Linked DNA regions of Drosophila melanogaster. The protein of the gene in region 1 binds, or shares a complex with, the protein of each later gene. Each region holds a gene or a part of one and is shown on either strand. Other genes may lie near its edges. The genes, in order: Prim1, PolA1, Prim2 and PolA2.

What was found.
Region 2: Prim1 (region 1) and PolA1 share a complex: the UniProt entries of both Drosophila melanogaster proteins name them as parts of the alpha DNA polymerase complex.
Region 3: Prim1 (region 1) and Prim2 share a complex: the UniProt entries of both Drosophila melanogaster proteins name them as parts of the alpha DNA polymerase complex.
Region 4: Prim1 (region 1) and PolA2 share a complex: the UniProt entries of both Drosophila melanogaster proteins name them as parts of the alpha DNA polymerase complex.

Annotation. Positions count from the first base shown.
Region 1 is NT_037436.4:8,338,488-8,344,904, reverse strand, and holds Prim1 (DNA primase subunit 1), read right to left. Parts: upstream 4,592-6,417; 5' UTR 4,406-4,591; intron 4,121-4,405; exon of another isoform or gene 3,822-4,120; intron 3,759-3,821; exon of another isoform or gene 3,753-3,758; coding exon of another isoform or gene 2,436-3,752; exon of another isoform or gene 2,029-2,435; intron 1,940-2,028; 5' UTR 1,931-1,939; coding exon 1,771-1,930; intron 1,715-1,770; coding exon 558-1,714; 3' UTR 501-557; downstream 1-500. Other genes in the region: CG7182 (uncharacterized protein), read left to right, coding at 1-377; CG7083 (uncharacterized protein), read right to left, coding at 2,436-3,752; Pex2 (peroxin 2), read right to left, coding at 4,730-5,029, 5,084-5,515, 5,571-5,648, 5,715-5,750. UniProt on the Drosophila melanogaster protein: Catalytic subunit of the DNA primase complex and component of the DNA polymerase alpha complex (also known as the alpha DNA polymerase-primase complex) which play an essential role in the initiation of DNA synthesis.
Region 2 is NT_033777.3:21,666,018-21,673,506, forward strand, and holds PolA1 (DNA polymerase alpha subunit 1), read right to left. Parts: upstream 5,734-7,489; 5' UTR 5,629-5,733; coding exon 5,613-5,628; intron 5,555-5,612; coding exon 5,360-5,554; intron 5,307-5,359; coding exon 4,288-5,306; intron 4,223-4,287; coding exon 1,662-4,222; intron 1,602-1,661; coding exon 1,123-1,601; intron 794-1,122; coding exon 597-793; 3' UTR 545-596; downstream 1-544. Other genes in the region: Jhbp16 (juvenile hormone binding protein 16), read left to right, coding at 1-119, 236-509; CG31176 (uncharacterized protein), read right to left, coding at 7,343-7,489. UniProt on the Drosophila melanogaster protein: Catalytic subunit of the DNA polymerase alpha complex (also known as the alpha DNA polymerase-primase complex) which plays an essential role in the initiation of DNA synthesis.
Region 3 is NT_037436.4:20,359,299-20,363,460, forward strand, and holds Prim2 (DNA primase subunit 2), read right to left. Parts: upstream 2,288-4,162; 5' UTR 2,210-2,287; coding exon 608-2,209; 3' UTR 535-607; downstream 1-534. Other genes in the region: CG5665 (uncharacterized protein), read left to right, coding at 1-522; Toll-9, read right to left, coding at 2,742-2,949, 3,011-3,138, 3,209-4,162. UniProt on the Drosophila melanogaster protein: Regulatory subunit of the DNA primase complex and component of the DNA polymerase alpha complex (also known as the alpha DNA polymerase-primase complex) which play an essential role in the initiation of DNA synthesis.
Region 4 is NT_033777.3:27,237,305-27,241,743, forward strand, and holds PolA2 (DNA polymerase alpha subunit 2), read left to right. Parts: upstream 1-1,858; 5' UTR 1,859-1,969; coding exon 1,970-3,799; 3' UTR 3,800-3,924; downstream 3,925-4,439. Other genes in the region: CG31064 (uncharacterized protein), read right to left, coding at 1-519; CG17991 (uncharacterized protein), read left to right, coding at 4,028-4,439. UniProt on the Drosophila melanogaster protein: Accessory subunit of the DNA polymerase alpha complex (also known as the alpha DNA polymerase-primase complex) which plays an essential role in the initiation of DNA synthesis.

The DNA.
Region 1 (6,417 bases):
GCTGCGCGCGCCAAGCTGTGTGCCTGATTGACCCCCTCGAACAGCAGCTTCACAAGGAGGAGGATTGCGTGGTGGCTGAGGATGACCTCTTCATTTGGCACGGTAATGACGAATCCAACGCCAAATTGGTCCTGGGCAGGGGGAGCGTTCTGCCTGCCAAAATACGGATATCACTGCCCCAATCAGAGGAGGGAAAGGGTGACGACGTAAGCAAAGCAGCTGCTTCGTTTAAGCTGCGCACCGGGGAGAGCGAGATCCTGGCCCGTCTGCCCGACAGCACGATACCGGAGGATGGGCTTTACCAGCTAGAGGTTGAGGTAGATGTGGACGATAAGGACGGCAACGTGGTGCCGCTGGTGCGACTGCGCTGCATGTGAGAGCCGGATTGTGAACCGGAACCGGTGCGATGTCGCCTAGACTATTTATTGTTGCTAGCCTAATGATTACAATACAAAAACTTAATAAAGATAAATACGCAAGCGGCAAACGAGAAAGTGTATGCATACTGAAATATTCATTAACCTTTTATTTTCTTATGTTAGTTTGTAAAATTAGAATCAAAACTGCAAGCTGGCAGATTTCTGGCTGCGCTCCAGTTTTCGCAGGAACTCCTCGAAAACCACGACACCCTTGAACATGCTAGTCTTCTTGTGATCCTTGATGCGGCTCTTATCCTCCGGCGCCTCCATGTAGCTCTTGCTCTTATCATCGAAAGCGTTGATCTCGTGAAGCAACTGGGTGATCGTCGGCACTGTGGTGGGATCAAACTTGGCCACAGCACTCACACTAAACGGAACGCACACTTTTCCAGTGGCTGGATGAATGCAAAACGGTGCCTTTAGCAAATGATTGAATCCCCTAGTGACATTGATGTCCAAACGAGGATAGAGCAGTCCAAGCTGGATTTCGGCTACAATGTTCTTCAGCTTGCGACTCCAGGCACTTGTCGTGGATGTTCTCATAGAGTTGGCGTACTTAATGAAGCTCTCCCAAACGAGTCGCGAGTGTGCTCCATCCTCCAAATTCTTTTGCATATAAGATTCTAGTTCGCCACGCGCAGCGTCATCGTGGACCATGTTAAGAAGTTTGGTAACTCCCTTGGGAGTTCCAAAAAGATTCTGATCCTCTAGTACAATCTCCTCGAACATGGGCTCCACTATCTTTAAGGCTCTCTTTAGGCTATGATGCGGTCGGTCTCCCATTGAACATCTGGGTGAATTGCCGCCCGCGAAACTGGCATAGGTAATAATGTTAAGGTATTCCGCCACAGCATAGCGACCACGTCCGTCCAAGTGACGGGCTTGGTAGTCGCAAACCCAGCAATGGATACCTCGTCTACCTGAGAAAATCCAGATTATGTGCTCGAAACCGAAATCCTCGCGCAAAGCGACATCCAAAACCCTGGCAGCCAGCACCATAAACTTCCAGCATTTCAGGCATACCCCTGCTCCAGAGCAACAGGTACGCACCTCGTCGTAATCCGTCATATCTATATCAAAAACGAGTTCACGTTGTACGGGCGTTAAGCCGCCAGGAATTGAACGATGGTTTTTGGGTTTGGAATGCATTACTGGTCCTATGTCAATCTTAATAGGATTCCTCGAGCAGATCTCCTTTTCCAATTCAGCTTGGGTATCAAAGCAGAGGTAACGTATGTAGATATCGTCCTGCAGTGTAAAGGAAATTTCACGATTGGAAAAGATAGCATCCTCGGCTGAAAAGAATAATGATCAACGGCTATTTTTAAGGATTGTAGTTGGGTGTACTTACATGATCCATACGATAGCCAACGGTAGAAGGGCAGGTGGGGAAAGAGGCGCCTGTAATACACGGGCAACATATCCTGCAGGACTTCGGGATTGTAGGCATGCACAGCAGTAGTCTGCTGCTGTGGAGCCTGGTTCTCCTGATCTGTGACTTGTTCGGGCATTTTAAGAAACTGAAAATAAACCACATATCTTATGATTATATCCAGAAAAAGAACAGAATACTTATAACCGTAAAGAAATCAAAACCATTCAGCTTTTTGTCGAAACCTTATATTTATATATTTTTTTGCTGATTTTTTCTTTTTCAAAGAGAGATACACGATTGGAGCTTAAAGTACTGAAATATATTAACGACATGCATTTTTTAAACGTAAGAGGCTTATTAATTGTCAGTTATGGGTCGAAACAAATTGAATCGAGCTATCGCAATGGAATACCGCAGAATGAACCTGGTCAGAGAGTTCGTCCGATGATTGGCTTAGCTTACATTGGAAATCTACGTCTACCATGTATATATATATATCTATATATTACTATATAATGTATGTGTCTACTTTACGGCTATGTTAGATCATTGTTGTAGCTTAAAGATTAGAGCACGACCGGCGGGCTTTCCCTTGTTCAGCATCATGGAGCAGCGAAAGGAGCCCAGTAAATTCCACAACTTTAGGCCACTGTGAGGCGAATGTCTTGCATTTTGTGCTGCTGCCAGGAATGCGCTGGCTGCCTGGGAGGCGCAGTATTGTAGAGCGTTACCGAGGCGATGTGGCTATTGGGCATCACCTCGAAAATCAGGTCTTGGTAGCCATAGCAAAAGGTGGAGCCGAACGGATTCGCTGTGTTCGTCGAGCTGGCGCGATGCAGCACCACTGGCCGCTCTGAGGTGGCCAATGCGCTGCTGATCGCGTCCCATTTGGTGTAGGCGGTTATGTTCACATGTTCCTGCTTAGTCGGCGTCACCAAATCGTGACCACTATCACTCATCGAAGGGTGATCCGCCTGCAGCAGGAACTGGAACTCGCAGCGATGGTACATATTAAAGTTGAAGTGACCGGGGTAGTTGGTGTGCAGAATGAATTTCTTGCAGGTCTGCGTCCGTGCATCAAAGAGCACATCGATGCCAAGTGTAAAGTAGTTAAAGAAAATATCGCTTCGCTTGCTCTGTGCTTGTCGATTGACACTCGAGCTGTGTATCTTCATTTTGTCCTCGCTCTTGAAGAATATACGATTGGGTGCTCCAAGACTGGTGGCCACATCCTCGCAGCTATCGCCGAAGAGCAGCTCTCGCGTAAAGCACTGACGGCGTGGCTCCAAAGCCCTTCCTGAACCCTCAGTAAAGAGCTTCAGCTTCAGACCCTTCGTGTGACCAAAGGCGGTTCGGAGAACAGTGGCCGATTCCAAATACATCTGGCGGTGATAGCAGGACAAGGGAAGAGATGGTACCCTGTTCTCCAACACATTGCTGCCTGCGTAGAGAGACATCTTGGACACGACGGGTGAGGCGCCATTCAGGAAAACCAGAGAACTCAGTCCATGGGCGTAGCCCGAGTGCAGCTTGCTGTCCACCGGAAAGTAGAAACTCAGCCCGCGAAAGTGTAGAGCAAACAATTGTTTGGCTGCATCGTAAACCCCAGGATGTGTGGCTCCAAAGGAGTGCTCGATTTGCTCGATACTCGGCAGCACCTCCGGGGAATTGAAGTATACGCCGAAATACCGCAGCTTCACCAGTTTCATGTTGAAAACCTCGATGGTCTTCAAACGCTGACTGACGGGATCAAAGATCAAGCGAACGCCATCCTGTGGCAGGTTGATAATGATGTCCACGCCCAGGGGAGTGGTATCCGAGTACAGCACCTGGACTCCCTTGATGATGCCCACCTGCGACTGGATGATGGCGATAGCCTGCGAGAAGTGCATGCCCAGCACAAATTCCCAGGCATCGCAGCCCAGGGAAATCTCCGGCACGATCTCCAGATCTAGCATTTTCACCTGGGGGTTTTTAAGGGATCTTGGTTTGTTATTGTTGTTGCTGCGAGTCGTCAACTTACTGACCTTGATATGTGAAATCAGTTCGCGTTGCGAATATATTTAAACAATTATATATATACGCAATTGATGGCCAAGTGTATTTGTTATTATTTCAGCACTTTCTGTTTTCAATTGTTTGCTCTCGTTTTCTTATTTTCGCTGGTTATGCCTTTATTTATTTTTATGCAATTACGCAACTCCAAAAAAATTGTTTAATTCGTGGGTTTCCAACTACTTGTCGTGTTCTTGGTGAAGCGATTAATTGTATTGTTTTCTTCAAAAAAATTCGGACAAAGACGAAATGCGCAGCAGAAAAATGAGATAATAACAAAGTAATGGCGTTGCCACATCGCCGCAGGCAGCTGATTCGCGAAATTGCAAAACAAATTGGGTGTGGCTTTGCCACCCAAAAAATATGAATATTAATCATGTTCTTAGTCTATCTATCTAATCTAGTGGCTTAAATACGGTTAGAGCTACTTAACAGTTGAGTTCATATAATTGCTTAATTTATTTGCCACATTTGGCAACGCTGGTTGAGAATGCAACAGCTGTTCCCATATTTTCGCGCGCTTTTTATTTACCAAAGATAGGGATTTAGAACTTACTTTTTGATCTTAACTGTTGTTCTTGGAAAATCAGCAGTTAACTTTGGATCCGCAAGGCTTTATACTTCGCCCTAAACAGTTTTTGCTTTTTATTTTCGTTTAATTATACACTTTTTATGTAGTTTATATCGCACGACTCCTGGCACTGGGCAAGTAAATAATAGCTGTTTTTGTACGACTACCAACACTACTCTGCTTGCTAACACTAAAAGTACACACATTTGGCGGAATATGAAAATGATTTGTTTATTACTTACAGCCCACTTTTCGCTTAAAACTAATAAAAGACATATAAAACCATCACATGCACTATATTCCTATTTATCAGACACTTTGGATTCCCGACTCAGGACACGCAGAACCGCAGTTGGGGCAGCAGAAACTGGCATCCGTTAAAACATTTGCATTAAGGCAGTAATAGCAATAAATATGACCACAGCCCATGTGGTGGGGCAATGTGGGTCGCTCTCCACAGAATGTGCAGGTGGTGCTTAGTGTCATCTGCGGCGCCAGGAAAGCCGGACCATCTCTATCCTCTAACCGTCGTCCGGAAAATGTCCATGATTTTAGCACTCTTTGTAGCTTACGGAAATTGATGATGGGCAACACCAGTCCGAGGATTTCCTATAATATACACTGTAATATATATGTATAATAAGCAAACTAACTAACACGCACCATAAATCCTCCCCACAGCAGCTCCCTCGTTAGGTACTTGTAGCCAATGTCTCTCCTTTGATTGTTCCGCAGACTAATGTAGTCCAATCCCAATAAGTAGTCCACCAAAGTGGGTTTTCGTCCTGTCTTCAGGAACCGAAAGTAATTGAGGATGTTCAGTATCAGGGCACTGTTCTCCACCCACATAATCGCCTCGCTAAACCATTCTACGCGCCTTGTTAAGCGTCGCTCCTCCCAGCTCTTCACGTAGCCCGGCAAGACGGTCAGGATGAAATGGAGCACCAGCCTGGAAACGGTCAGCTTTTCGGCATCGTAAGCCAGAACCAGTAGCTGTTGGCCAAAAGTGGAGCACCGCTTGCCGACGGAACCAAACCAAATTGCGGATTGAATGATCAAGTCGAGCTCCGGTTGGATTTTGATGAACAAAACGGGCTGTGAGAGATATACAGTATATATTGGCCAATTATGGTAGTGTTCATATACTCACTGAGATGGCTTGCAAGTTCTCCAGCAGATTATCGCGTATCAGGCGGGCAATGTCCTTGTTCAAATAGATGGCATCTATCTAAAAGGTAAACATGTATAATTTTAGTGGTTTTAATTCATGAATAGCTCACCATAATTAGCTCACCTGATTTACACGTGGTACATATTTGTTTTTCTCCATTATTTTGTTTATATTCTTGCCTTTGGTTAGCTGACCATTGATATATTTCTTATTTATATGTACTCTGCCCTTTCTTATCAATTAGAGATGGCAATTGTAAAGAAAGTTTACTAGTCATTATCGACATTTTTAAACAGTGCTGGTAAACTATATCGACAAACCCCGCCAAATTTAAACTAGCCATACTAGCAATGCGGTTTGATTTTTTATTTATTGCTAATTGAAATCAGCTTATATATCAATTACATCGACATTTCGAAGAAACTCCAAGTCTTTTAACCATTTAGGAAGCATTTTCCGTCAACATTTCAATTAAGGCTTATGCAATTTCAATGAAAACAAATACAAGAAACCACAATGAACTGAAGAACTCGTTTGGGATCCGGAAAATGTGTCTAACGATGTCTGGTAATTTGTGGAAATCTTGCCCATTGCCGTTTACGTCTGGAAACGCATAAACCAGTTGGTCAGCTGAGACATTTGGTCATTTGTTTGAGGAGTGCAAGTTCAATGATTGGCCCCGGCTGAAAAAATTATGGCCAGTGGTCGGGTGAGTTTTGATTTTATAAAAAGTACATAATTCACACTTTATTACACAATTTACAATTTCTTCGTTCGATCTCTGTTTTACGAGAAGACATAAGTATACATTACAGTTTACAGATTA
Region 2 (7,489 bases), on another chromosome or scaffold:
GTCTACACTCAGTATTTCCCCGACAAAAGTCTGGAGGGCGAGTACGAGTTCGCCGCCAAGATGCTGGGTACTGAGATGAACAGAAAAGGCCACTGGAACCTCACCCTCTACGATTACAGGTGGGCACCGAGTTGCATGGAAATATGTATTTCCCAAGCTGTGTTGCAAACACCAGTATTGTTGATAGCTTTTGGCTTACATGACAACCTATCGCTCACTTTATTTACTTCCTCAGTCAAACCACCAGCGTTAGGCGCATCGGCGGTCCGGGCTCACTCATCAAGGTCCATGTGGAGGTGGACCGCATCGGCGGAATGGAGCTGCACATTGAGAACTTGCTGCAGGGACAGCCCCTCAACCAACTGGCCGATGGAGTCATCAACAGCATGTGGCAGCTGGGATTGCCCTTCATCAAGCCGATGATTAACGAGTTGGTTAGCACGGCATTTACGGATATATTCAACGAGTCCTTCCGGCACTTTCCGCTCGAGAAGTTCCTCGCCACGTGACCTCATCTAGTTAACCATACTGTATCTCTGTATCTCTTTTGTAGTATTTTTAATGGAACTTATAACAAAGGCTAGTTAATTAAACACTTAGACCACATCCGCCAAAGCACTCGGAATTGCTTCGATCTGGGGCTGCGCCACGGACGGTTGCAGGGACATCTGAGCCAGGGATCGGGCAAAGAGCTTGCTTAGCGAGATGATCACGTAGGAGGAGCTCTGCAACTGCTGATCCACCGTTTCGTATAGGAGTTGATAGGCCTGCTCCAGCTCCGGTGTGAGGGTGGCTTGATAATATGGACAAAATATAATTTCAATATGAAATGCTGTAAAACTTAATGATACCAATCTTAAGGGAAATATATGTATTAGGTGTCAGAACTAATATATAAACTACAACAATTTTTAAGAATTCAAGGATACAAGCATAAAGAACTACTGAAATCCGTCGAGATCACGGGAACTATAAAATATTTCGACTGATTTTTCCTTTCATGTGTCTTGTTATTTAGTGTCGATATTTCTCTCTCGTACTCCACATTCTTCATTTTGTTCTTATACACAAACTATTGTTTTAGTTTTTGATACTGCTTATAACTACATTGTATTTACTTACGTTTTTGCTGCAGCGTTTGCTTGCCGAGGTCGAACATGAATCGCAGGTAGCACAGCTGATTGTACAGGTCCCGCTCCGTATACTGACGCAGCAGGCTGCCGCTCCTGCACTTTTGGCACAGCGGGCGGTGGGATTTCTTCCTCAAGGAGTGTGTGCGGGTGTTGAAGTTGCAATCCGGGTGATCGCAGACCAGCCAATTTTTATAGAACCGTTGCACATACTGCCGCATGGAAAGCTGCAGCTGATTGCGCACGCTTGCCAGGTACTGAATCGGTGCCGTTTGGCACTCGGACTTAGCGCATTGCTGGAGTACGGCTATGTGGGAGTTGCTTGGACCCGGTCGGTACGCAGACGCCATCAGCTGCTCCGTCTTACAGGTAACGCACTGGAAGCGGAACGGTTCGCACAGGCGATACAACTGCAGAGTCGTCTTGAGCAGGGACTCACCCTCCGACTGCTCGGTGTTCTCTCGCTGGGTTCTACATAACCAAAATATTCGTTAGGTTAGAGTTTGTAAGGAGTAATAAGATAGTAAGTACCTCTGCGCATTCTGACGGAACTTGGTTGGGTCCATGCCCAGACACTCGGCGATGCGACTCGCATCGGTTCCCTCCAGCACCTCCACCATTCGCGTGACTACCGGATGGATCTGGTGTCCCAGGTAGTAATTCGTGTCCAGCTGCAGCTTCTTATCCTCACTGGTCTTGAGCTCATCCAAATGGTATGCTCGCTGCATGGCAGCATTTGTTGTCCCATCCAAACAGATCACATAGTCCACCATATCGCCCTTTTTGTACCGCCTATTACGCTCGCGATTCATACGAAGGGCCACCTGGACGTGGGGCAATGAAGCACTATTGGCATATTCCTGGGGAGTCCGAGTTAACTGTTTGGTGATGACAAACAGTGGCAGCGGTACTACACCCTCTGCAATTTGAGTTTTGATCTTCTCCAGTTGGGCATGCACTGCATCCAGTTTCTCCTCCAAAGGCTTTTCCGACAGCACTTCATCGAGAACGGCTTTTCCCACCATTACAGCCAGCTGAGACCAATCGCGACGTACTATATCCAGGCCCTTGTGCTCCTGTTCACGCCTCAGGTTTCCCTTGGAATCCTTGCTCAACTTGATAGCGGCATACTTCTTTTTCTTCAGCAAGAGCAAACAGCCAAATACTCCATCGATATCCAATTCCAGCTGCTTGTATAGTTTATTTACACTCTGCTTAATATTGTGACCAATCTTGTAGACCTGGTCGTAGTCGGTTATGTTGGTATTTATCATCAGGGAATCTGTGTCTCCATAAACAACGTCATAGTTCATCTTTTGCACGAGTTGTTGTGTGTTCGTGAGGATTTCTCTGCCCTTGTGGGTGACCAAAGCAGCCAAGTGCTGGGCAAAGAACCGGGAGTGGGCGAAACCCAAGCAACCATACATGGAGTTCGCAGTTAGCTTCAGGGCCATCTGCCGAATGTGGTACTGCATCTGGAGTTCCGGCGAAAGATCAGGCGCTGCCATTAGCTTTTTCACCTCTTTTCGCGACTCCACCAAGCGTTTCAATTGAAGGGGTAAGATTCCAGGTTCCGTTTTCGAGTCGGGTAGGGTGGGCAACTCATCTGCATCCACCGGCTGTTGGACGGTGGTGAAGCATATGTTGTACTCCTGTATTATACTGGGGTACAGGGAGTTAAAGTCCATGAGGAGAACGTACTTCTCGTAGAGACCACGCATGGGCTCCAACACTAAGCCACCAGCATAGGCTGCCTTCTTTTTGGTTTGCATCGTCGCATCTGCACCTGAAAGCGTAGCATCCGTATCTCCTGCACCACTTCGTTTAGAAACCGGCTTCTTGTCCGGCACTATGTAATTCTTCTCGTGGAAGGCATGCAGCAACAAGAACTCATTTCGTTCAGAACGACCTCCTTGAAGGGTCCTGGTCATGGTATTGCCGCAGATATTAGTGATTTGTAGCGCCAACGGCATGATGTTGAGCTCACACATCAGCCTTAGTAAATATGAATTGTCCTGCATGGTGAGCGATATGAGCTTGGTAATGCTTTCTCCTTTCTCATACATCTCTAGCAGATCATCGGCATTCACTTCCATTCTCTCCGATTCCTTAAGCTTCAGTACTTGTTTGCATAGCGTTTGCAGATCATAGGATCTTGCTCTTATACACTCCTCTGCAGATCGCTTTACATCACAAACCATTCTGCCGACGAAATGTTCCAGCAATCGCTTGCCAAACGATTGGCTCAGCCTCAGTCGCCCCATTCGAGACCATTGGGGAATCTTCAGGGCTACAATTTGATCGGTTATTACATTTAGTTGACAATCCATGGAATCGAAGGTTACAATGAGATCTGCATCTATTTTCTGGTACTGAGCTAAGAACCAACTCAACAGGGCTCTCTCTGAGTCATGTTTGTGCACTGTGGTAGACTTATATTTTGCCATCTCAAAGTTCAAATCTAAAGGCCAACTAACCACCGCCGGGCGAGTCAAAGCGCACATATGTCGATTGAAAGCGGGCTGTGGAGCAGGGCGGTCGATATGGAAACGATTGTGGGTCAGCATGGAAATCATGCATATCTCGTTTCTCGATGTTTTCGGATTCATTGAGGTGCGAACATTAAGCGATAGTAGCGTAAGTGGAGGTGGTGGCGCTGGCTTTCCCTTATCTTGCACCAACTCTACATTCTTGGGCTCTGTCAATGTGACCTCGGTGTTACACCAACTCATGGGAGTTGGGCTCACCTTGAATCCAGTCACCTGCAGCCAACAGGGACCTTTGATTTTCCGATCTAAGAGGAATCTTTCGAGTGCATTGGTGGTGGCGCCGAATATGTGTGCTATAGAATTGTATTTCTTGTCAGCCGACAAATTGGGCAGTGGTTTCTTTCCATCGTAGTGAACCTCCAAGTAATCGCAAGATTGCGGAACTTCAATACCGATAGCGTGATGGGCAAAACTCTTGGTGACCTTGCGGGATCGAAAGAACTCGAGCTTCAGTTGGTTTGCCACCTCGCTGTCGAACTCCTTGTATATGTCTGCGACGGTCACCTTCTGCTTGGTGGGCTCCTTCGAAATGGGATCTAAGAGCTAAAAGAATATATTCAGAAACAACACTTCACCTAAGGACTAAGTATTTGTAGAATAATACTCACAAATTGTCGGGGCAGCAGATAGAGCACACGGTTGATGTTCTGTACACGCAGACAGACGGACTTTCCATCTGCGGTCCGACCGAACAGGAAGACTTCGCCGGGCATTTTTACTGGATCCTCATAGGCCTCCCAGTACCAGAACCGAAGCTGTTGATCTGAGGAGATTGTCGAATCCTGCTCCGTGGTGAGCACGGACTTTTCAAAATCATCGTCCATTTGGCATATAGACTCCCAATTGTTCAGCAACCTACTAATGTCCTCCGATTCCGATTCCTTTGGCGATCCAGTTGTTTCTTTTTTGGGAGCTGATTTTTCGGCGACTTTGCTTTGGGATGTTTTCTCAGCTGCTGTTTTCGTTTGGGAAACCTTCTCGGTCTGCTGTGTCTTCTCCACATCAAACTGGTTTTCATCGTCATCCAGACAGCTAAAGTCCATTTCATTGTCGGAGAATGGATCTTCGGTGGCTTTTTTTGCAGGTGTCTTTTCAGGCATGGGCTCTTTTTTGATTGTAGGACTGGAGAAAAAGGCCACCTTTGTGTTTGGAACTGCTGCCTTGGGCTTCAGAATGCGCTCCAGCATCTCGTTATCGCTACTGGCCTCCGCTTTCTTACGTTCCTGCTCCTGAACTTTGATGTTGTTTAGAAAACTATTCATGTATTCCTTGGCAGCGGCGGCATCGAATTTACGCGACGTAACTGATATTTTCGCTGGGGCTATAACCTTTTCCGCCTTTTCTGACGTCGCTGCAGGCTCTTCCTTTATTTCGCCCAAAATATCAGCAAGGATATCATCGTCTTTCACACTGGTCTTTACATCCATCTTTTTGGGCACTGCATTGCTGAATAGATTCTTGATGGATGCTTTTCCTGTTACTGGTTTTTCATTCTCCCGTGGTCTCTTTTTGCTGTTGGGGGCAACACCCTTCTTCTTCTTCGAGTCCTTCCGATCCTCCTCCCCATCGGAGTACTCATCTTCGTCCTCGAAGAAATCCCGAAGATCTTCTGCATAACCAGTACCATCTAAAAGTTAAAATTTAGTATTATAAAGTATAGAGTTCAGAGTTCCAACTTACCCTCTTCGATCCAATCGTCACCGTACTTTTCCTGCGCCCTCTTCGCGTACTCCCGCTCATCAACCACATCGTATACATCGTCCACCTGGTCCTCCACTTTGCATTTGTTCTTGGTTCCCTTCAGCTGACGCAGTCGCTCCATGGCGGCGAACCTACCATTTTTGTCTACTCTCTGGCGCTTAGCGCGCGGTTCAGCTGGAAATTTATAATTTCGGTAAAAAATATGTTTAAGGGAGTTATCTTATTAACTTACACGGTGATTCAGACATTGCAACTGGCTAACTTTGATAATAATTTCCCCGTGTTGTGCTGCAGTTTGCAAAAATTGTTTTGTGACCAGGGCTGGAGGATGATCAAAGCGGGAATGGCGGGAACATATCGATAACAGAGCTACGATACATAAAGCGCTGCCGGACTTTTGCAATGTAATATCGATAGTGTCGTTAAGAAGAGGAAGAATGTAAGGAAATTAAAAAAAATAAAAGCCATACAATAACTTAATCCCAAATTGCAATTTTATTATTAAGTAACATCTCTATTTTATGAATTTCTGAGTGGTAATATATCGATAGGTGGCAGCGCGTTATGTTAGCTCTGGGCACTGTTAGCGTCTAATCTGTAAGCACAAATGATCGATTACAGTTAACACGAATAGTTAACATAACAGTTACAGCGATTTAAAATGACTGCTATATTTTGGCGGGAAATCCGACCTGATAATTGAAATGAATTCACCAAGTAAGAAAGAACAATGATCACCATTTAAAGGGCGTTCTTTTAGATTTTACATTTTCGAGCTTCAGCTTTTTAATTGCAGTGGATCACAAAAAGAAAAACTTTTCCATTAGCAGTTGCTCCATGAAGATCCCCTTTTAATGTGCTTGTCATATGTTTTTATTCCCAAATTAAAAGACAATAGTTTGTTTGGTTTTAATCGTATTTTATTTATCATGCATAATATTAGGCTTATAAGATATATATAATATTATACTTTAAATACAATATACAGCAATTTCGATTAAAATTTGTGTGGATTTGAAAGGTGATTTCATACCCTATATAATTATCAATGCAAAATCATGGTTTATATATATACACACATACACAAAACAGACTTACATATTACATGAATACATATATTTATGACTATATTTGCTGTTTAATTGTTATAAGCAAAAATTCGTACATATTTACAATTTAATAGTAAATATTTAGAATTTCTGCACTTGCAGTCGTTATATTTTACAATTATTTTCGGGTGTGTTGGTGAGGAAAGATTTCGGAAGATGAGAAAATATGGAAAATACTGTTTTAGGATAGGGTGATCGAGAGGAACTATAGAAAGGATATTAAAATGTCAGTCTACCAGAATGTACAGCAAAGCAGATAAAATAAGATAAAGGAGGGCAGTTAAGCAAAGCAGATAAAATAAGATAAAGGAGGGCAGTTATTTAGGATCCTTGAGGTATTTTCTTTAGCTATGGGGTGTGTTATTCATTTCTATATGGTTTTCATTTTTATTTCAAGCCACAGACATGGCACAACAATTTATTATGTTTTTTTTTTATGTTTTAAGGAATTTTTCTCCGTGTATGGTTTCCATAGTTTTGGCTAAACATTTAACAACAGCAACAAATATAAAAACAACAAGAAATAATCGTTAACAAGTGCAAGATGATACTGAAATGAAAAGAGAAGAAAAAGAATCAATGAATAATTCAGTTTACAATTGGTTTAATATTATACTATGTTATTATGTAACTATATTAAATCAGAATATAAAGTGGGTTGCAATTCTTATTCCAGTATAATTACATTGCTTGCTTAAATGTATTTCATATTTTTCTAAAGTTTATTTTGTATCAAAGAATTATCTTGATCTGGAGTATTCTTAAAAATACTTAAAAAACAAAAAGTAAATGTTATTACCTTGCTCTGTGCCTGCACAGATGCAACAGATGCTAGACCCACTGTTCACGCCCTTCACACCACCTGCACGGTGGCAAAGGCACTAAAGGTGACCTTCTTGGGGAACTCCGGTCCGGGGGAGCCACGCGTCTTGATCACCGGCTTGAGAGGCTGGCGGGGCTTCAGGGAGAGCAGTCCGGCGGAGGCGGCCAGTTCCCTGAG
Region 3 (4,162 bases), about 12 Mb from region 1:
CACATTATGGGCACTGCTGGTCGGACTTTTAAGAAGCTTACCGGAAAACTTATACCCAGGATAACTGGCTTGGATCCGGCCAAGCCATGTTTCAGGCGGGAAAAGATTCTGCCAGGATTGACGCGTGGCGATGCCAAGCTAGTGGACATAATCCACACCAACATTGGTATTTTGGCCAAGCGTGGACCCCTCGGTGATGTGGACTTCTATCCCGGCGGAGCACATCCCATCCAGCCAGGCTGCCTAACCATCGGATGCTCTCATACCCGAGCCGTTGAGTATTTCGCCGAGAGTGCATATCCACACCAAGAGAAGAACTTTATGGGCAAGAAGTGCGCTTCTTGGGATGAGCTAAGAAAACGGGATTGTTCTGCTGGCATAGTTTCCCCGATGGGCTATCGAATGAATCCCCAAGCCAGGGGCATCTACTACGTAGATGTCAATGGCTGGCCCCCTTACGGCCGAAACTCGGAGAACACTGTTGATCCTAGGCTTAAAACGTGCTACTTGTGCCGGAGGTGAAGTCCGAACCATGGAATAATATAACTTTTCTTATTTACGATGCTTAAATATATATGTACCTTAGTTAATTTATGTTGTACAACGTTTAGTAATCGATTTGCGTAAGATCTAGATCATCATTGAAGGCCTCGGATATGTCCTTTTGGCTCTGCATGATACGCTCCTGGGTTTCCGCGATTCGCCACAACTCATCGTCATCGTCACCCATCAGCATGGACCGATCCCCATGGCCCTTGATATCTGGACGGATTCTGGCCTTGGGCGGAGCAGAACCATTGGCGCGCTTCTGCCGGTTGCCCATCGCTATCTGGCTCTCCTCGAAGTAGTTGTTGGGGTGATTGATGCTCGGCTCGACGGGTGAATTGTGGGTAAGTTGGAAGTACTTGCCGCATCCAATTTGATAGTGACCGCGGGACACAAAGAACATCACCTCGTCGATGGCACTGGCTGACAGGCCATAGGAGGACAGCTTGGTTTTCAACGAGCCCTGATCCATGTTCTTATACGGACAGCCGTGGCAATCGCCCGGCCCCGCCACATCCTTGATAATCTTGGCGCACGAGTAGGGTGTGTAGTTGACCATGGAACCCTTCTTTCCGTAGTTATGGTAAATATTGTACTCGTAGCTGCGTGTAAACTTATCCGCGTCCATTTTCTTGGTAAACTCTTCGCGCCAGAAGCGCAGCGAATCCTCCAGTGCCACGCCAATTCCTTTGAGAAACAGGCCGTATTGCATTCGGCCGCTATGTTTTATGTGATGGTTGGCACGAATGTGCTCGTGGCACATGCGCATACACAACGGCATGGAGGTCTTGGAGAGCTGATCGAGCGACTCGATGGGCACAGCTGCATCCCGACAAACGGTGTAATCCCTACCGGTATACGAGTTATGTAGAGCTTTAAGTGTGCGGGAGATGCGCTCGTCGGCTTCTACATCCTCCACCATAGTCTTAGCAGCCTGCAGGCCTTGCTCGATCTCGTCCTGCTGCTTGGTGCCCACTAGGGACACCAGGTCGTGGGTGTTAACATAGGCGTAGCCAGCCTTTAAAAAGCAGCGACGTCCGCGCACCAGATCGAGCACCTGGGTGAAGGGCACCTTGTAGAAGTCCAACAGCTCGATCTTCGCCACGCTCTGTCCGACCGTGCTCTCGTACAGGCCGTCCTTGACTTCGTCCTTCTGGGCCTCGGTGAGGGGGTGAATCTCAAAGCCGTTGGCCTCAAGGAACTGCTTCACCTCGAAGCTGCTAAGTGCAGCGAATTTGTACCGGAAGAGCTCCATTTCGCGGGCCACGAACCAGCGCGCAAGGTCCTCGGAGCGGCAGTAGGCCAGCCGCAAGATGAAGTGCGAAAGATAGTCCCGCCTGCGGGTCTGGATATCCGCCTCGTGCTTGGCGCTTCCGCCGGTGGAGCAGAGCCTTAAATAGCTGCGCAATCCCTCGCGGGTCAGGTCCGCACTCACGATTTCCTTCCATTCATCTGAGAGCACGCGCAGGTTCCGGGTGCTTGCGCGATCCAGGACGCGGAGAAGGCGCAAGCGCTCTAGAGCCAGCTCCTCGAATTCGTCTATGTGCACGTCCTCCGTCGGCGGATAGTGGTACAGCATGACGTTGTGCGGGTACTTGGTTTCCAGGCTGGCCACCTCCACCTTCACCTCATGTCTCGCGCGTTTCTTCAGACCAAACTCCATTGTGAGTCGCGGGAATTGCTATAGTAATTTACAATTTGTGGAATGCCCGTTTGTTGTTTTGGCGCGCAAACTACTGATGGCAAATATCAGCTGTGTCAGTTGTTATCGATAGTTTTCTGCTCATTATCGATGCTTGCGGTTTATTCAATTTGTATTTCAAAATTAAACGTTTTTAATTGTTATTATCAGTCAATTGGTACTGATGTATTGATTGTGTGTTGCATTGTTAGATATTTCTTAGGCCTTAGCTTTGTTTACATAGTGTCCAGTAGTAGTAGGTTATGTTTAATATACGACGCTATTGCCTTTGTTAAGATATTTCAAAAACATCACATAAGCTCTTAAAAACCTAAATACCTTTATTTATTAATATATGTTTAAACTATACTTATGTTCAGCAGCAAATTTTGCATATTACTATGATTACTGTGGGGAAACTTTCGTCTTCATGAAAGTGTAATTAAGTAGTTTATATACTATATCAGGTACGTGCACAACTGACTAGAACTCTCCGGATAAAATTACATGTTTTCTAAACACTGATCTCTCTGGAGTTGATCCCTATGACCTCCAGGGATCTCTTCAGACGTTTCCAAAACAGCTTTCGATCCTCCTTGGCCGTCGGCCACTTTATATACGTTTTCACATCCATGAGATATTGCAAAGTCTTGGGTCGCTTTCGCCGTGGAATGTCCTCCAGAAAAACCAGGATCAAGTGCTCCTTGCTGACCTCAAAGATGCTACAATATACACACATATATTGATTTTAATATTTGAATTTTACAGATAAAGATTCCTTACCGATGCTGTGCCAAATACATTTCAAATTGACACCAATGACTCAACAGGAACTTGGAGGATATGATCAGCATAAGGGAATACGAGCGATCCATGCAGGAGATGATGTTATCTAGGATGGTCACTCCAATCTGCATGTGAATTAAGGGTTAAGGTTTCACTTTATTAGTAAGTTAATGTTGTAAGATAAGTACGCTTCACCTGAAAATCTCTTTCATGCAGACAAATGGACACATCCCCAGTTTCCTCCACGTTCGGCAGCAGTTCATTGAGCACCCAGGTCCGATCATTCTGGCAGTAGCTGATGAAGATATCGTAGACGGCACTGGGATCTCTCTGGGATATGTTTGTGAATTTATTCACCGACTCCTTGGACGCACTGGACAACAAGGCAGCGGACTTCAGGGAAGAGTAATAGTAGTGGATGTGCCAGCGCTTCAGATAAATTATAAATCCCAGGATGCAAGCGCCAACTAAGCTGCCCATGACTGCGATCACTGTGTTCGTAACGTGGTGCAACTCCTCGGCGAGGTCACTCATCGACCTGATCTGGCAGTTGAGCTCATCCACCTGGAGCTGATCGGTGTTGTTGAAGCAGTAATACTGACTGGCCTCGTAGTCGAGCAGCTGAAATTTTAGGGTAAGATCTCCGTCAAGGTCCCCTAAGTGGTATGGCTGGGCCGCGGAGCACTTGGCTACCATGTAGTCCTCGGAGGAGAAGCGCAGCTTGATTATATGATTCGCGCGATTGAACTCCCTGATGTTGGAGTAACTTCTCTGCAGCCAGGGAATATAGCGACTCTGCCATAGCTTGCGATCTATAATTAGTGACTCCGCCAGAGATATTACCTCCTCACCTACGGCATTCTGACTATAGTTCAGCAGTCTATAGGAGCAGTCTGCATCTTTATTATTGGCGGCCGCCACCTCCACCACCGCTCTCAAATGGCAGTCGCAAATAAAGTCGTTGTCCCCGAGACTAAGGTAATCCAATCGCTCAAAGTCCTTCAACATCTCGTTGGACAGCATGTTGATGGTGTTGCTTCTCAGGTTCAAAACCCTTAGGGCGGAGTTGTTGTGGAAGGCACTGCGGTACCAATTGCCCACATGGTTCGAGCTCAAGTCGAGGATCTCCAGGGACTCCAGAGACTGAAA
Region 4 (4,439 bases), on another chromosome or scaffold:
TAGCTCCTCGCTGGTGTTGGCATGCGATGCCTTTGGCAAGGCAATCGTATTGCTGCTGTTGCTCGCCTGTTGTTGCTGCAACACCAGGGGTTGCTGCTGTGTCTGTTGCGGTTGTGGCGGCTGCTGTTTCGGCTGCACTTGTTGTGAGGGTGGATTCTGACCCTTTTGGCTCTTCGCCGCTGCTGCTTGCGCCCTTGTTGTTGCCGTTGCTCCAATTGCTGTTGCTGTTGTGCCAGTTGGAGTTGCTGCCGTGGCGGACTTTGCAGACTTGCCTACTTGTTGTTGCCCCGTTTGAGGCGCCTTCTTGGCAGCCATTGTTCCTGACGACAATGACGTCGCGCTGCCCGATGTTGGCGTTTTCACTGCACTTCTCAAGGGCTTCGAGCTGCTGCCGCTGGCACTTGATCCTGTTGCAAGGCTGCTCGACTTGATGCGACCGCTGCCGCTGGTGCTGCTGAGGTTGTTGTTGTTCGCCGACGACAACTTGGTCCTTTTTGTATCCTCGACAAGTCCACGCATTTCGCTGCTGCTTCAAAGTACGCCTGAGTAGTGTGTGTGTGTGCGTGGGCGTCCATAAAAATACAGATATATACATATATCGATATTAGCTGTTCAATAAGTTCCGAGTTTCCTTTGCTGCCGCTTTCCCTCAACTGTTTTTTCATTACCTTAGAGGGGTTTTTTCCTTTTGTAAACCTCTTTTCCAGAGGGTTTTACTTCTGAAATTAACAAAATAACCGAAAGTTCTCGCCGCTTTGATTTTGCACCGTTATCCTGTTGTGTACGCGTTGAGTAAGACTGGCAAAAAGTTCTTTATCCTATTGATTTGTCCAGTGCGCCAAGCTCGCAAGCTCCTCGCGAGCTTTCGTTGGGGGTGTTCTCGATGGTCACGCTGTGTGTGGTGCGCAAATCACCTTTGACACTTTCCCAATGCACTTTTAAGTTATTTTTAATCATATTATTTATACAAGTACCGAAATATTTCAACGACAGTTTCGCACAGCCCACGAAATTGCTAATACTAATTAATAAATACATTTTAGAATAGTTTTGAGTACCTAAATTGTTATATTAAATATATATGTGTATATATTTATATATATTATATATAATATATTTTATATATGCAACATTATTACTTAACATATTATTATTAGCGCACAATGGAAATTTGGTTTCCATTGCTGCTTATCATCGAATGAATAATAATTCGGACTCACCGCGTTTCAGTCGCTTTGCTTTCAGTTTCGATGGCGACGGGGATGAAGCACTGGCGCTCGCCACCGTGTCCGGCGCAACAGGTACAACAGGTGGTGCGGGCTCGTCGGGATACGGGTACGTGGTGGTGCCATCGATTACCTCGGAAGAGGCGGCTGCTGCGGCCGCATTCGAGAACTGTGTGGATATGTGGCTGAAGATCTGCGAGGAGATGCTCTCCGTGCGCCGGAAGGTGTTCCGCAGGCGGTCCAGCGATGACGTGGGGGCGCTGGGCGCAGGCGCGGCACCTCCGGTGGTGGGCGTAACCGGAATGGAGACACTCGAGGATTGGGAGTCTTCACTCCTTTCGCGGCGCACCAGCAGATCGTCCGTGCTCATGGCGAATCACTTGCTTCGCGGCGATTATCAGGACACTGTGCGGAGTCACATGAATCAAAATGACGCGATTACAGCCGCTAATTTCGCTTGTTTTGCGCTTGAACGCGGGTAAACAAAAAAGTTTGTCAATACAAAATTAAAACAGCTGTTGCACTGCGATTGGGGATGGGCGATAACAATCACTGGTTACAGATCACGGTTATCGCAGCTCGATGGGAGCTGTTATGTTATTGAACTGACTATGCTTATCGATAAGAAAACTCAAGCAGGTGTTAAAAGCATCATAGGGTGGCAACACTGTGCCCACTTTTACCGCCAAAATAAATTGCTAGGTTTATTTACGAAAATTAAACGCCCAACGAAAGGACAACGAATGGAGGAGGAATTGAAGCAGCAGTTCGACGAGATGGGCGTGGAGCCAGCGGACGCAGTTCTGGGCAGGTGTGCGGAGCTGGCCATTACCTACAACATCCACGACGCCACCGAGTTCGTGGAGCAGTGGATGGCCTTCAGTTTGTCGCACCTCCAAGGCGAGGATCCTGCGATCGAGAATCTGGGCGACTTTGAGCGCAAGGTGTTGCAGCTGCGGAAGGACAAGGCGGGATACAAGGCAACTGGCCAGAAGGCGAAATCATATGGTTCGCCCTCTGTACAGGATACGAGCTCACTGGCCACCTATGGCGTCATGGAGGACGATCCCATGCTGGATGACTATGTCAGCGAATCGGCAGTGGACTCCTCCGCTCTGCACACGCCCAAGGCCAAGAAGCAGTCGGATCGGACCGCCAATCTCAAGGGCGCCGCACTCTTTAGCCCCGCCAGCTATACACCCCAATCGGCAAAGAGGAAAGCAGGTTTAGAAACACCATCCAACTCAGTGGCCGGCAAGCCGGGCGATATAGTTGACACCTTCGGACATCCCAAACTCCTGGCTGGCTCCAGCTGGCAGTCACAAATGGAGCACACGGTTCCGGTGACTCAAAAACTGCTGCACAACGACGCCCCGCTGACCATCGCAAATTTGGGCTACATGAACGACCTGCTGACCGACCGATGTCACAACCTGCGCGTCCGCTTCAACCAAACCGGTCCGGCACTAGTGGACAAGAAACTTGGACAAGCAGGCGCAGCCGAGTGCATTTGGTATCCGCAGGATAGGCAGGTATTGCAGTCCGCAGGTGGACTCCACGCGGTGGGAATGATTCATTCCGAGGACGATGGCCCACTGGACGCCCACTCCGCATTTATGGCCGTTTTAGATGACGATGTAGAAGATGAAATGGACCCAACGCTCACGCTCAACTTCTCCAGGGTCAAGTCTGCCAGCATATTCCCAGGTCAAGTGGTGCTCGCCAAAGGGTTCATACCCAGGGGCAAAACCTTCATGGTAGAGGAGATACACACAGAGCGCAAACTGACGCCAGCAACGCCACTGCAAATAGACAGGGAGCTTCAGTTTGTGGTGGCCTCCGGACCCTTTACGGACAGTACGGATCTCTTCTACGAACCGCTGCACGACCTGCTCAAGTACCTCAAGGATCACAGACCTGACGTGCTGGTGCTCACGGGACCATTCCTGGATGCCGATCACAAGATGGTCGGCGAACTGGCCGAGACCTTCGATACATTCTTCGAGAAGATGATTGGGGGAATAATGGAGTCGATTGGTAGTCACACAGCAGTGCTGGTGGTGACCAGTCAGAAGGATGCCATGGCTCTTTCCGTATATCCAACGCCGCCGCCCGCTCTGCGCAGAACCTATCCAAATCTATACATGCTGCCCGATCCATCTCTGGTGGACTTGGATGGCTTTACGCTGGGCGTTACCTCAACCGACGTGGTGGACCACCTGTTGAGTCACGAGTTTGCTGTGAATGCCGGCGAGCGGATGCACAGGGCCATCAACCACTTGTTCCACCAGGGCTCCTTCTATCCTTTGTATCCGCCGGCGGACGAAGACATGGCCTACGATTCCCAGCTGGCGTTGAAATATGCACAGCTCAAACAGCTACCAAATGTGCTCATCTTGCCCAGCGATCAGCGGCATTTCATCCGCTTGGTCAACGACTGCCTGGTGATCAATCCCGGCCGTGTCGCGGACAAGAAGGGTGGAACTTTCGCCCGATTCCTGGTGGCGCCTTCGGTGCCGGGAAAGGCGGCCAACATGTTCAACAGTGTGGCGTGTCAAGTCCAACGCATCTAACCTGACCACTTTGTGATGATGATAAGGAAAGGATAGTGGGAAATAGATCAGTACAATATTATTAGTTAATATAATGAACACACTACTTTGTCATAACTTTTCACAAAATACATTCAACAACAAACAACTAGCATTAGTTATTTTGGGCCAAAGTAGGTATTGTATTATTTGTAAACATATGCCCTGGAGTTTTCTCAGACTCAAGTTTTATATACAACAAGATCAATAATGGCTAGCAACGTTGCTGCGCCACAAGCTTCAGCTGGAGGAGATTCGACGGAACTGGAGCGCTGTTGCTGGATCTGTTTTGAGACCGATAAGGAGGCAGGTCGCCAGGCTTGGGTGAATCCATGTCTCTGCCGAGGAACCAATAAGTGGGTGCACCAGAGCTGCATTTCCCTCTGGATCGACGAGAAGACCCGAATAAACAACAATCTGCAAGCCGTTTCCTGTCCACAATGCCAAACGGAGTACACCATTGCATACCCGAATCTCTGGATTTTCGATAGGGCTTTGGAGCTGACCAACGATCTTATCCTAACAAACTTATATAATTGCCTGGCCAATGTCTTCACGGTGGTCTTTGCCTATTGGTCAGCGGTTTCATTCGGAGCAAAAACATATTTGCAGATCACTGGTC